Linked DNA regions of Macaca fascicularis. The protein of the gene in region 1 interacts with the protein of each later gene in a pairwise test. Links are inferred from orthologs where the notes say so. Each region holds a gene or a part of one and is shown on either strand. Other genes may lie near its edges.

The links.
Region 2: the proteins of FMR1 (region 1) and CYFIP2 interact in a two-hybrid assay, tested with the Homo sapiens proteins (2 studies listed by BioGRID and IntAct). The link is inferred for Macaca fascicularis from reciprocal best matches to the Homo sapiens genes FMR1 and CYFIP2.
Region 3: the proteins of FMR1 (region 1) and NUFIP1 interact in a two-hybrid assay, tested with the Homo sapiens proteins (2 studies listed by BioGRID). The link is inferred for Macaca fascicularis from reciprocal best matches to the Homo sapiens genes FMR1 and NUFIP1.

What each region holds. Positions count from the first base shown.
Region 1 is NC_088395.1:153,966,688-153,970,754, forward strand, and holds the start of FMR1 (fragile X messenger ribonucleoprotein 1), read left to right. Parts: upstream 1-1,205; 5' UTR 1,206-1,529; coding exon 1,530-1,580; intron 1,581-4,067.
Region 2 is NC_088380.1:164,060,850-164,064,863, forward strand, and holds the start of CYFIP2 (cytoplasmic FMR1-interacting protein 2), read left to right. Parts: upstream 1-1,165; 5' UTR 1,166-1,627; intron 1,628-4,014. UniProt on the Homo sapiens protein: Involved in T-cell adhesion and p53/TP53-dependent induction of apoptosis. Does not bind RNA. As component of the WAVE1 complex, required for BDNF-NTRK2 endocytic trafficking and signaling from early endosomes.
Region 3 is NC_088391.1:24,231,833-24,235,940, reverse strand, and holds the start of NUFIP1 (FMR1-interacting protein NUFIP1), read left to right. Parts: upstream 1-1,259; 5' UTR 1,260-1,295; coding exon 1,296-1,707; intron 1,708-4,108. Other genes in the region: GPALPP1 (GPALPP motifs-containing protein 1), read right to left, coding at 989-1,076. UniProt on the Homo sapiens protein: Binds RNA.

The sequences.
Region 1 (4,067 bases):
CAACGCAGTGCTACCAGTTAACTCTCACCTGCCATATTCCAGCTGGAATCATTTCCCCTTCTCCACCCCAGACTGGGTCATGTTCCGCCATCATGGAAGCACCTATTCTTCATATCCCTTATCACAGCTGCAACTCCTCATTTACTTGCCTGATAATTTGATTTATGTCCATCTACTTTGCTAGGTTCTAAGTTCAATGCTGGCAGTCTTTTCTTCTTTTTTTTTTCTTTTCTGTTTTGCTCACCGACTTCTCGCTAGCACTTAGCACAGTGCCTGGCACATGATAGGTACATAAACTTCTCAGTTGGGTACCAGCATCCCGAAGGGAACATGGATTAAGGCAGCTATAAGCACGGTGCAAAACAGGAATAAGAAAAAGTTGAGGTTTGTTTCACAGTAGAAGGTAAAGGGTTGCAAGCAGGTGCATCGGCCCCTGTAGACAGGACGCATGACTGCTACACACGTGTTCACCCCACCCTCTGGTACAGGGTGCACATAGAGTAGGGGCAGAAATGAACCTCAAGTGCTTAACCCAATTTTTAAAAAATATATGGTCAAGTGAAAAGTATGAAAATTAGTTGAGGAAAGGTGAGTACGTGGGTCAAAGCTGGGTCTGAGAAAAGGCTAACATTTTGAGGTCCTGACTCAATCCATGTCCCTTAAAGGGCACAGGGTGTCTCCACAGGGCCACCCAAAATCTGGTGAGAGAGGGCGTGACTCCTCACCCTCTGCCTCTACAGGTCACAAAAGCCTGGGTCACCCTGGTTGCCACCGTTCCTAGTTCAAAGTCTTCTTCTGTCTAATCCTTCACCCCTATTCTCGCCTTCCACTCCACCTCCCGCTCAGTCGGGCTCTCCGCTACTTTGAAACAAACCAAACCAAACCAGACATCCCCCGGGAATCCTAGCGAGGCCGAACTGGGATAACCGGATGCATTTGATTTCCCACGCCACTGAGTGCACCTCTGCAGAGATGGGCGTTCCGGCCCTCGCGAGGCGGTGCGACCTGTCACCGCCCTTCAGCCTTCCCGCCCTCCGCCGAGCCCGCGCACGCCCGGCCAGCGCCTCTGACGTTCGACCCGAATCCCCGGACGGTTCCCAGAAGCGCGCATGCGCGCGCTCCCAAGCCACTTGAAGAGAGAGGGCGGGGCCGAGGGGCTGAGCCCGCTGGGGGAGGGAACAGCGTTGATCACGTGACGTGGTTTCAGTGTTTACACGCGCAGCGGGCCGAGGGTTCGGCCTCAGTCAGGCGCTTAGCTCCGTTTCGGTTTCACTTCCGGTGAAGGGCCGCCTCTGAGCGGGCGGCGGGCCGACGGCGAGCGCGGGCGGCGGCGGTGACGGAGGCGCTGCTGCCAGGGGGCGTGCGGCAGCGCGGCGGCGGCGGCGGCGGCGGCGGCGGCGGCGGCGGGCGGCGGGCGGCGGCGGCGGCGGCGGCGGCGGCGGGCGGCGGGCGGCGGCGGCGGCGGCGGCGAGCGCCCGCAGCCCACCTCTCGGGGGCGGGCTCCCGGCGCGAGCAGGGCTGAAGAGAAGATGGAGGAGCTGGTGGTGGAAGTGCGGGGCTCCAATGGCGCTTTCTACAAGGTACTTGACTCCAGGGCAGGCCCCATCTTCGCCCTTCCTTCCCTCCCTTTTCTTCTTGGTGTCGGCGGGAGGCAGGCCCGGGGCCCTCTTCCCAAGCGCCGTGCCAGGGCACGCTCGGCGGGATGTTATTTGGGAGGGAAGGACTGGACTTGGGGCCTGTTGGAAGACCCTCGAGCCCCGCTCCGAGTCCGAGAGGCCCTAGCGCCTATCGGAATGAGAGACCAGCGAGGAGAGGGTTCCCTTTCGGCGCCGAGCCCCGCCGGGGTGAGATGGGGATGGGCGAGGGCCGACGGCAGGTACTAGAGCCGGGCGGGAAGAGCCGAAATCGGCGCTAAGTGACGGCGACGGCTTATTCCTCCTTTCCTAAATATCTTCTCCCAGCGGGATCCGGGCCTGACGTGTGGGTAGTTGTGGAGGAGCGGGGGACGCTTCAGCCGGACCGCCTCCTGCAGCGCCAAGAGGGTTTCAGGTCTCCTTTGGCTTCTCTTTTCCGGTCTAGCATTGGGACTTCGGAGAGCTCCACTGTTCTGGGCGAGGGCTGTGAAGAAAGAGTAGTAAGAAGCGGTAGTCGGCACCAAATCACAATGGCAACTGATTTTTAGTGGCTTCTCTTTGTGGATTTCGGAGGAGATTTTAGAACCAAAAGTTTCAGAACATGGCCCAGCAATGCATTGAAGAAGTTGATCATCGTGAATATTCGCGCCCCCCTTTTTGTTAAACGGGATATATTCAGGAATGCACATGCTTCAGCGTCTAAAACCATTAGCAACTCTGCTACTTAAAAATTTTGTGTGTATGTTTAAGTTTCCAAAGACCTAAATATATGCCATGAAACTTCAGGAAATTAACTGAGAGTATATTATAAATAGGGCATTTTTTTTTTTTTTAACTGAGCGAAAATATTTTTGTGCCCCTAAGAACTTGACCACATTTCCTTTGAATTTGTGGTGTTGCAGTGGACTGAATTGTACTGAGTTGTTGAGGCCTTATATAGGCATTCATGGGTTTACTGTACTTTATAAAGTTACACCATTGCAGATCAACTAACACCTTTCAGTTTTAAAAAGAAGATTTACAAATTTGATGTAGCAGTTGTGCGTTTGTTGGTACGTAGTTGCTGTAGATCTATTAATCTATAGATTCTCATTTCCTTTTGAACGTCTATAACCTCTTGAAATAATATCCCACCTTACTACAGTATTTTGGCAATAGAAGGTGCATGTGGAAGGAAGCAGTGTCCAGCACAATTCTTAAATGTATTATAGAATGACTTGAATGTTTCAAACAGGACACGTTTGGCTATAGGAAAATAAACAATTGACTTTATTCTGTGTTTACCAATTTTATGAAGACATTTGGAGATGAGTATATTTCATAAATGAGTAGAGTATGTAAACCGTTCCATACTTTGAGCACAGAGTTAAAACCTTTTGCTGTAAAAGGAGGCAAAAGGTAACCCCACGTTTATGTTCTTAACACTCTCATAAATATAAAATTGTTTCAGTTGACTCTGCAAAGTTTTAATTTCATTGATCGATAATTTCTTCTGGTGAGTTTGCGTAGAATCGTTCAGGGTCCTAGATTAGTGGTTTTGGTCACTAGATTTCTGGCACTAATAACTATAATATATATACATATATATGTGTGAGTAAGGGTTAATGGTTAAGCAAGATTCTGATTGATCTGTGATACAAACTTAGATTGGATGCCACTAAAGTTTGCTTACCACAGAGGGCAAGTAGCACATTATGGCCTTGAAGTACTTACTGTTCTCTTCCAGCAACTTATGATTTGCTCCAGTGATTTTGCTTGCAAACTGACTGGAATATAAGAAATACCTCCTATTTTGCTATTAATTTCCTCCTTTTCTGTTTCGTTTTGTAACGAAGTTGTTTAACTTGAAGGTGAATGAAGAATAGGTTGGTTGCCCCTTAGTTCCCTGAGGAGAAATGTAATACTTGATCAAGTGTGTGTCAGATAAATTGCTGTTACGTTTATTTAATTAAGTTTGATTTCTAAGAAAATCTCAAATGGTCTGTACTGATGGAAAAATAGTTTCTGTAACAAAAAAGCTTGCAATTTTTATATGACTTATAATTTTGCTGTGAGTTTAAAAAGTAAAGCAAAAGTAAACTGAGTTACTTGTCCAGTGGGATGGACAGGAAAGATGTGAAATATAAACCAATTAAAAATGAACTGCTGTGGATAAGTGTTACATTTATGGAAAAAGAAATAGGAACCTTGTTCATCAAATTGATAGAAAAGCTTTAAAAACTAAACAAACAACTTGAGTATAATTGAATTCAGACTTTGATTCGCCTGACATAACCACCATATTTCCAAGGACATCTCTCTATCTTCTGGTGTTTATTCTTAAAAACTTAAAAGTTAGATTTAGCAATCACCAGAGCCACTACTTTTATGCTTAGGTATTTGTTTGACTTAGAAATAAGTGGTCACGTGTACCACTTTACAGTGCCCTGCAGG
Region 2 (4,014 bases), on another chromosome or scaffold:
TCTCTCTCTTTTTCTTTCTTTCTTTTTTTTTTTTTTTTTGTGAGACAGTCTCACTCTGTCACCCAGTCTGGAGTGCAGCAGCGGGATCATAGCTCACAGTAGCCTCAATCTCCTAGGCTCAAGCAATCCTCCCACCTCAGCCTCCTGGGTAGCTGGGACCAAAGGTGCATGCCACCACACCCATCTTTTTTTTTTTTTTTTTTTTTTTTTTTTAATTTTTAGTAGAGATGAGGTTTCGTTGAGTTGCCCAGGATGGTCTCCAATTCCTGAGCTCAAGCGATCCTCTCTCCTCGGCCTACTAAGGTGTTGGTATTACAGGTGTGAGCCACCGGTGGGCAGATAATCGCTTCTTTAAGGAGCCCGTAACGGCAGATAAGCCTTGAAGAGAAAGGTACCTGTCCTTTCAGTGCTTCCTGTCGCCTATTTGTCCGTGAAGCAATTCCAGAATGAAGTTGAGGCAGGCCCCTGTTAAAGAGGTGGCAGCTTCAGGGACTCTTCTCCAGTGAACTGGAAGGGAGGGGAAGAACTTATTCTTGAGCGAAGAAGCCCCATCAGCGTCCAGGTTCAACTGGTGGAAGGCCCCCTCCCCTAGCCCCAGTTGCATCTTCAGTCACTTGACCCTGCTACTTCTCCTCACAGCACTTTGGGCTGTAACTGGACGTTAGATGGGTTAATGTACACCCGTCTCTCCTGGCAGGTGATAAAACTCCACGGGGGCAGGGACCCTGTCTTTTGTACACCAGTGCACACCCAGGTCCTGGCACCGTACATGGAACGGAATAGGTAATCAATAAAGATTGGGTTGATAAATGAGCACTCGGAAATCATGTGGGGCCAATGAAATCCGAATGCGGCCGAAGCTCTCGTTCTCGGGTTGCTGCAGGTGTGGTTCCTAGTGATGGAGGCCGTGGAAGAAGCCCTCCCTCCCTTTCCCGCCCCCAGGGCAGGAAGCCTGGGTGCTGAGCTGTCCTCTGAGCCCGAGGGGCAGGTCCCGGGCGCGCCAGCGGTACAGCGGGGAGCGCCGAGAGCCCCTCGCCGCAGCCATTTCCTGCCCTTTGTGTGACAGCCGCAGCGGAGAAGGGGCGGGCGCTGGGCGGGGGCGGAGCCGCGGCAGGCGGAGCGGCGGGGTCGGGGCGGGGCCGAGCGCCGCGCAGCGGAGCGGGGCAGAGCATCCTGCGCCCCGGCGCGGGGCCCTGCGGTAGCCTTGGGCCCCTCCCCTGAACTCGCCGCAGAGCCAGGTAAGCGGCGCTCGCAGGCCTTGGGCCGGGCACGGGGACCGGGATGCTGCCGGGGACGGGGTTGAGGCCGTGAGGATGCGCGAAGGGCCGCCCCCTCTCCCGGTCCGCGGGGGGCGCTCGGCGCTGCGCCCGGGCTAGCGCAAGGCCCGGCCTCAGGCCCCACGCGGCCCCTTTCCCCCTCGGGCCCACGGTGCGTCCCGCGGCACCGACCCTTTGCCCGGGAGGCGCGAGCACATCGCGGAGTTCCGGCGCAGCGGCGGGGTAGCCGCAGCAGCAGGTGCGCGGCCTGGGCCGGAGCCGCCAGCCCGGGAGGAGGCGGTGCTAATCTCAGGGACCGGAGACACCTGCGGTGGCCGCGAGCCCGGCGGCGGCGACATCCTCGGGTCCAGGTACTGCAGAGCGCTGGCCCCTGCCTCTGCCTCTGTGACCACCGTCACCTCCCCCAGGGCCAGCGAGAGCCGCCTGGGCCGGCCTGGCAGCCGCCTCGGGCACACAGAACGTGTGATGGGTGGGGCGAGGGGCGCAGCGGCGATGTTTGGGGGCGGAGGGCTTTGATGAGAGAGAAGCAGGTCTGACCCGCTTGGAAGCTTTCTGGCCTACACTAGCATCGCTCTCCAGGCTGGCCGCGGGCAGGATGGAAGTGGGGGAAGGGGATGAGTGGGCTGACTCCTGGGGGAAAAGATTGTTTTTTCTTGAGCTCTGAGGAACCAGGAAGAGGCTTACCTGTCTGTTGTGACGTCTGCTTTTCAAGACAACCCTACCCGTCACCCCAAGGAACAGCCCACCTATGTGCAAAAGAAGAAGAGGTGCTCTCTGCTTGGGGATGGGGGATGGTCCACAGAAGTATGGCCCTCTATACCCAGAACCCGGCTGGAAAGGACACTGACAGCCCCCCGGTGCCCCCCCAGCACAGGGAATCTGATTTTGACCTTTGCTTGCCTACTTTCCCCAGCACAGTGGAAACATTCACCAGCCCCTACGAGCCATCAGCTGTCCTTCCAGCTAGGCCAAGAATGGGACAAGGATCCTTTTCTGCTAGTTCCTGGGTGCCTGTGCCCTCAGCATGGGCAGGGAGACGGAGGCAGTCCTGCTGGCAGGAGGGGCAAATCAGGAGAGTGTCGGTTCCTGTGTTCCCATTTCCTGCCTCCTGTCTGTGTCCCAGTTAGGGCAGTGGGTCTCACCTTTCTCTTGGATACAGGCTGTGCCAGCAACCCGGGTCCCTGAGATCTTAGAGGGTAAAAATCAGGTCCGTATCTATGGGCAGGTCTGTGAAGGCCTTGACGGTTGCTTTCTCCACCATTAGACCCTCTCTTTGTGGCCCTCCTGGTGGCCTACCACCTCCACTTCCATACAGTGCCCTGCTCTTCCCCCAGTCTCCAGTGTCAGAAATTGTTTTCAAGAAAGGAGCCAATGATTGTGTTTATCTTGAAGAGCTGAATACAAAAGAAGTTCGCATTTGATGCGGAGCAGGTGCTTTACAAGTCATTTGACCAGAAAATAAACAGAGGATGGAGGCATTTTAATGGGAAACAAAGCTTTAATGGGAAACACTGTAGAAATATTTGCTATCGCTAATGGTGGAATTTCAAACAGTGGACTGGAAGTGGAGGTGGGGAGCTGGGTAGTTCTTTTGGGAACAGGTCCCTGAAATGACAATATCTAGCAGCTGTCAGCTCTGTATTTGGCAAGGGCAGCTTTGGCCCTGGGGGCAGGAATGCTGTAAGAGTGTGTGTGCATGTGTGTGCATGAGTGCATGTTTGTTTAACTGGTCAGGGGTTACTGTCACCGGAAGGCATTTTTTGAGCACCCAGTGTCCACTTTCAGGATGAGAAACTTGTGTACACAGGGTTCCTCGTTGGCATTGGCTACCCTTTGCCAAGGCAATTATTAGACCTCAAGAAGAGAGTGTTGTTTGCTTACAAAGTCAGTGCCTCTAGATAGTTCTACACACTGAGCCTCTGGCTGGGGGCATTAGCTCTCTGCTCACTAAGCTTCTTTATTATATTTCCTGGCCAGTTCTGACCGGTTCTGTAGGCACCCAAGGCTGCCTTGTTCAGTCCCTGCTGAAAAATGAAAAAGGAAAAACTTGCTTTAGGCATTAGGCCAAGAGTCGAATGTACAACCCAATGGGGTTAGAGAATTTTACTCAAATCAGATGCTGGCCCAGAGAAGGAAGTAGACATGAATTCAAAAACTGGTAAAAGGCCCTGGGAGAACTCTACATGTCCCCTCTGATAAATCATGCCCTCTCTGATGTTCAGTGGGCCTCTGCTGCTGTCATTGACCAGAAAACTGAATGAGATGAATAGGCAACAAGCCAATTAACGGAAAAGCGCTCCTGGAAAACAGTACGGGCCCCAGTCCCTACGTTTAAGGATTGGACTACACTCTCAAGGCGGCTTCTTTGGACCTCTGTTGGCCCCAGGGGTCCACCAAGAGTGTCACAAAATGGCCTTTTGTAGCCTCCAGGTGGCCACCATAACAATGAGTCTATTTCTTTACTGGCAAGTATTAATTATTCACTTGTAATTGACGAAGCCAGACATCAGTCACCTCACTGGAGTCTTTATGAAAGGCCTTTGGTCGTGTCATTCTGAGGAGCAAAGCCATGCCTAGGGTCCAGGGGATGGGGCCCCTGCATCAGTAGTGAGATGGTGGGAGGAGGGGGGCAGGCTGCTGCCTTCTAGGCAGTGAATGGGGGTGGGGGAGGAACTAGAATATCTTTGGATGCTCTTACTACCCGAGGGGTGCATGAAAGTGCCGAGCAGAATGCTTA
Region 3 (4,108 bases), on another chromosome or scaffold:
TCCGGGTAGACCAGGAAGAAAAATTAGATTCAGAAATGGCAGGGCTACTCAGCTTTACTCTTCTCCAACTGGGTTGTAGGTGCTAGTCCACAAATGTGAATAAACATTAAAGCAGATAGGTATGCATGGCGGAATCTGAGAAGCATTCGTTTCGTATATACAAAGTGCCTGTTGCGTGTTCAGGTAGAAGCCCATAGTGCAATGGTGGGGACAGATTATGTCGACAAATTATTCAAATATAGTGTACCAAATATGCAATGTAATTAGGAAAAAACCCGAGGGCAAAAAGAAAGGCGTGACAATGCTTTGGGGAATTTGGAAAGGTTTTATTGGTATGACATTTAAGTTGGGCCTTGAAGGATAGGGAGATGTTTGTCAGTTATGTTTAGAAATGTAACCAGAGGAAGCCCAGAAGCCTAGAGCGTTAAGGAACTGCGCAGCAACTCAGGATGGATTGAGTACTGGGCTGATGTGTCAGATGCAATAACAGAATGACAGGCAAGGAAAGCAGGTCGGGGGCTGGAGAGAACAGGATCTGCAAGGTTCTTGTAAATCAGAAGGCAATATGGCACAGAGGTTAGGAGAAACGCTTCCTTCTAAGTCGCGCTCCATCACTTGCTAGCAGTATGATCTACGCTGGCATGGGCTTCGGCGTACCCATTTGCAACATGGGAAAATAGTCTTTTCCTTATACGGCTTAAATGACTGAATGGGTATCAGTCAGTTAGGGCAGCGTGCAGCTCTTATTAAGCGCCAAATGAGAATGTATTATCATCACGAAGCCAAATCACGCAAAAGCTCGGTTTCTAGGAGGGTCCCCCAGCCTCCTCCCCACTGCTACCGTTAGGGAAAAAAAGTTCTCTCGGGTCGGGCCGCGCCCACTCCCCATTCCTCAGCCCTCCTAGGCCTCCGACTTTCTTCAGCGAGCAGGGCCGGCCCAGGGAGGGGGTAGATGGGCCTGGTGGGCAGCGGAGACGCAGCCGCTTACCAGGGCTCGGGTCCCGCTCTTCGTCCTCCGCTGTTCCGCGGGCCTTGAAGCCGGGCGGCAGGGCCGGTCCGATTAGGTCTCTTGCCATCCGCGGTGGCTGACACTGGTCACAGATACGAGTCTATCCACGAACGTCAAAACTACCCAAATGGAATCCCGCGATCAGCAGCAAAGAATGGAAGGTTTCCCGACGCCGACCAATGACGTAAGGCCTGTGGTTGGCTGAGCGGCGTAGTTCACCGTAAAGGAAGTGACGCCTAATGCTTGCTCCACAGTCGCGTGCTAGACTCCGAACCCGGCAGGTGGTATGGCTGAGCCGGCTAGTGATTTCGTGACTCCAACCGGGTGGCGTGCGTCTCCCGAGCTGACTCCCACGTTAGGGCCGCTGAGCGACACTGCCCCGCCACGGGACAGCTGGGTGTTCTGGGCAATGCTGCCGCCGCCGCCACCACCGCTTACGTCCTCGCTTCCCGCAGCCGGGTCAAAGCCTTCCTCTGAGTCGCAGCCCCCCATGGAGGCCCAGTCTCTTCCTGGGGCGCCGCCCCCCTTCGACGCCCAGATTCTTCCCGGGGCCCAACCCCCTTTCGACGCCCAGTCCCCTCTTGATTCTCAACCTCAACCCAACGGCCAACCTTGGAATTTCCACGCTTCGACATCATGGTATTGGAGACAGTCTTCTGATAGGTTTCCTCGGCATCAGAAGTCCTTCAACCCTCCAGGTAGGCTATTTTTCCACGTGGGTCAACCCCTTTACCTTTTTTCCCCGTTCTTTCCTCTCCCGTTTCTTCGTTTCCTCACTCCACTCTGCCTTGCCTCTGCACTCTTGGAGTCTGGTCATTAGTATCTCAAAATATATCTGATTGGAATGTTTTCCTGTTGCCTGTTAATTCCATTTAGCAGTTGTTTATTGAATTCCAACTATGTACCAGAATTTAGGTATATAGCAGTGAGCAGAACATACAAAAAATATTACGGAGCTTAATATTAATATCTCTCTTGTGTAGGAAGACAGACAATAAACAAAATAAAATATTGTGCATTAGAAGGTTAAGAGTGCAGTGGAGAGAGATAAGACAAAGAAGAATGGTAAGTAGTGCAGGGTTTTCTTTTTTTTTTTTTTTCTTTTCTTTTTTGGAGACAGAGCGCCTCTGTCGCCCGGGGTGGAGTGAAGAGTAGCGCGATCTACTTCACTCCAGCCTATGCAATCTGCAGAGAGGCTCACTGCAACCTCTGCCGGGTTCAAGCAATTCTGGTGCGTCAAACTCCCGAGTAGCTGGGACTACAGGCCCGCGCCACCACGCCTGGCTAATTTTTTGTATTTTTAGTAGAGATGGGGTTGCGCCGTGTTGGCCAGGCCTGTCTCGAACTCCTGAGCTCAGGCATCCGCCCGTTTCGGCCTCCCAGAGTGTTGGGATTACAGGCGTGAGCCACCGTGCCCAGCCGGGTAGTGCAGTTTTAAATATCATTGTTAGTCATAAGAAAGGTGACATATGAGCAAAGACTTCAGGGAGGTGAGGGATCACAGCCATGCATACATCTGGGAGAATAGGGGTATAGGCAGAAGGAACTGCAAGTGCAAAGGCCTTAAGGCTTAGAAGCTATACATCAAAATGGGAACCAGCGTGGCTACAGAGGACTGAGTCTGGAGTATAATTGTAGAAGATGGGGGAAGAGGGTAAGACCTGGTATGTCTTTGTAGATCGTGGGACTTTGACTTTTACTGTTGTGAGGTGGGTAGTACAGGGGATTGACATGATCTGATTTACTTAAGAGGATTAATGTGTCTGTTGGTGGGAACTGACTGAAAGGGAAACCGGTTAGGAAGCTATTGTAATTACTTGTCTAAATGAGAGACACTGGAGACTTGGACCAAGGTGAAGCCCAAAGGATGGTGAGAAGTAGTTGGATTCTAGATCTAGGGATACCTTGGAGCTCTTGTGGGTTCAGTTACAGACCACTGCAGTAAAGCAAGTCACACAATTTTTTTTTTTTTTTGGTTTTCCAGTGCATGTAAAAGTTATGTTTTCCTGCAGATCATATGGGGCAAAAAAGTTATTTTTACATTATACCACAGTCTATTAAGTGTGCAATACCATTATGTCTCAAAAAACAACTTACATACCTTGATTAAAAAATACTTTAGGCTGAGCAGGGTAACTCACACCTATAATCTCGGCACTTTATTTATTTCTGTTTTTAAATTTGTTGAGACAGAGTCTCTGTTGCTCAGGCTGGAGTGCAATGGCGCGATCTTGGCTCACTGCAACCTCCACCTCCAAGGTTCAAGTGATTCTCCTGCCTCAGCCTCCCGAGTAGCTGTTATTACAGGTGTCCACCACCAAGCCTGGCTAATTTTTGTATTTTTAGTAGAGACAAAGTTTCACCATGTTGGCCAGGCTGATCTCAAACTCCTGACCTCAAGCGATCCACCCTCCTTGACCTCTGAAAGTGCTGGGATTACAAGCGTGAGCCACTGCACCTAGCCTAATCTCAGCACTTTGAGAGGCAGAGACAAGAGGATTGCTTGAGCCCAGGAGTTGAGACCTGCCTGGGCAACAAAGTGAGACCCCCGTCTCTACAAAAAAAATAAAATTAACCAGGCATAGTGGCATGCCTGTGGTCCCAGGTGCATGGGAGGCTGAGGCAGGAGGATTCCTTGAGCCCAGGAAGTCGAGGCTACTTTATCAACTGAGTTTGTATAATATTATAAATCCTTTGTTGTCATTTCAACAGTGTTCACCAGGAGTAGATTCCTCTCAAAAAAGCACTTTCTTTCCTCATCCATAAAAAGCCACTCCTCATCCATTAAAGTTTTACCACGAGATTGCAGCAAATCAGTCACATCTTGTGGCTTTACTTTTTTTTTTTTTTTTTTTTTTTTTTGAGACAGTCTCGTTCTGTCGCCCAGGCTGGAGTGCAGTGGCGAGATCTTGGCTCACTGCAAGCTCCGCCTCCTGGGTTCATGTCATTCTCCGCCTCAGCCTCCCAAGTCGCTGGGACTACAGGCGCTGGCCCCCATGCCTGGCTAATTTTTTGTATTTTTATTGGAGGTGGGGTTTCACTGTGTTAGCCAGGATGGTCTCAATCGCCTGACCTTGTGATCCACCCGCCTAGGCCTCC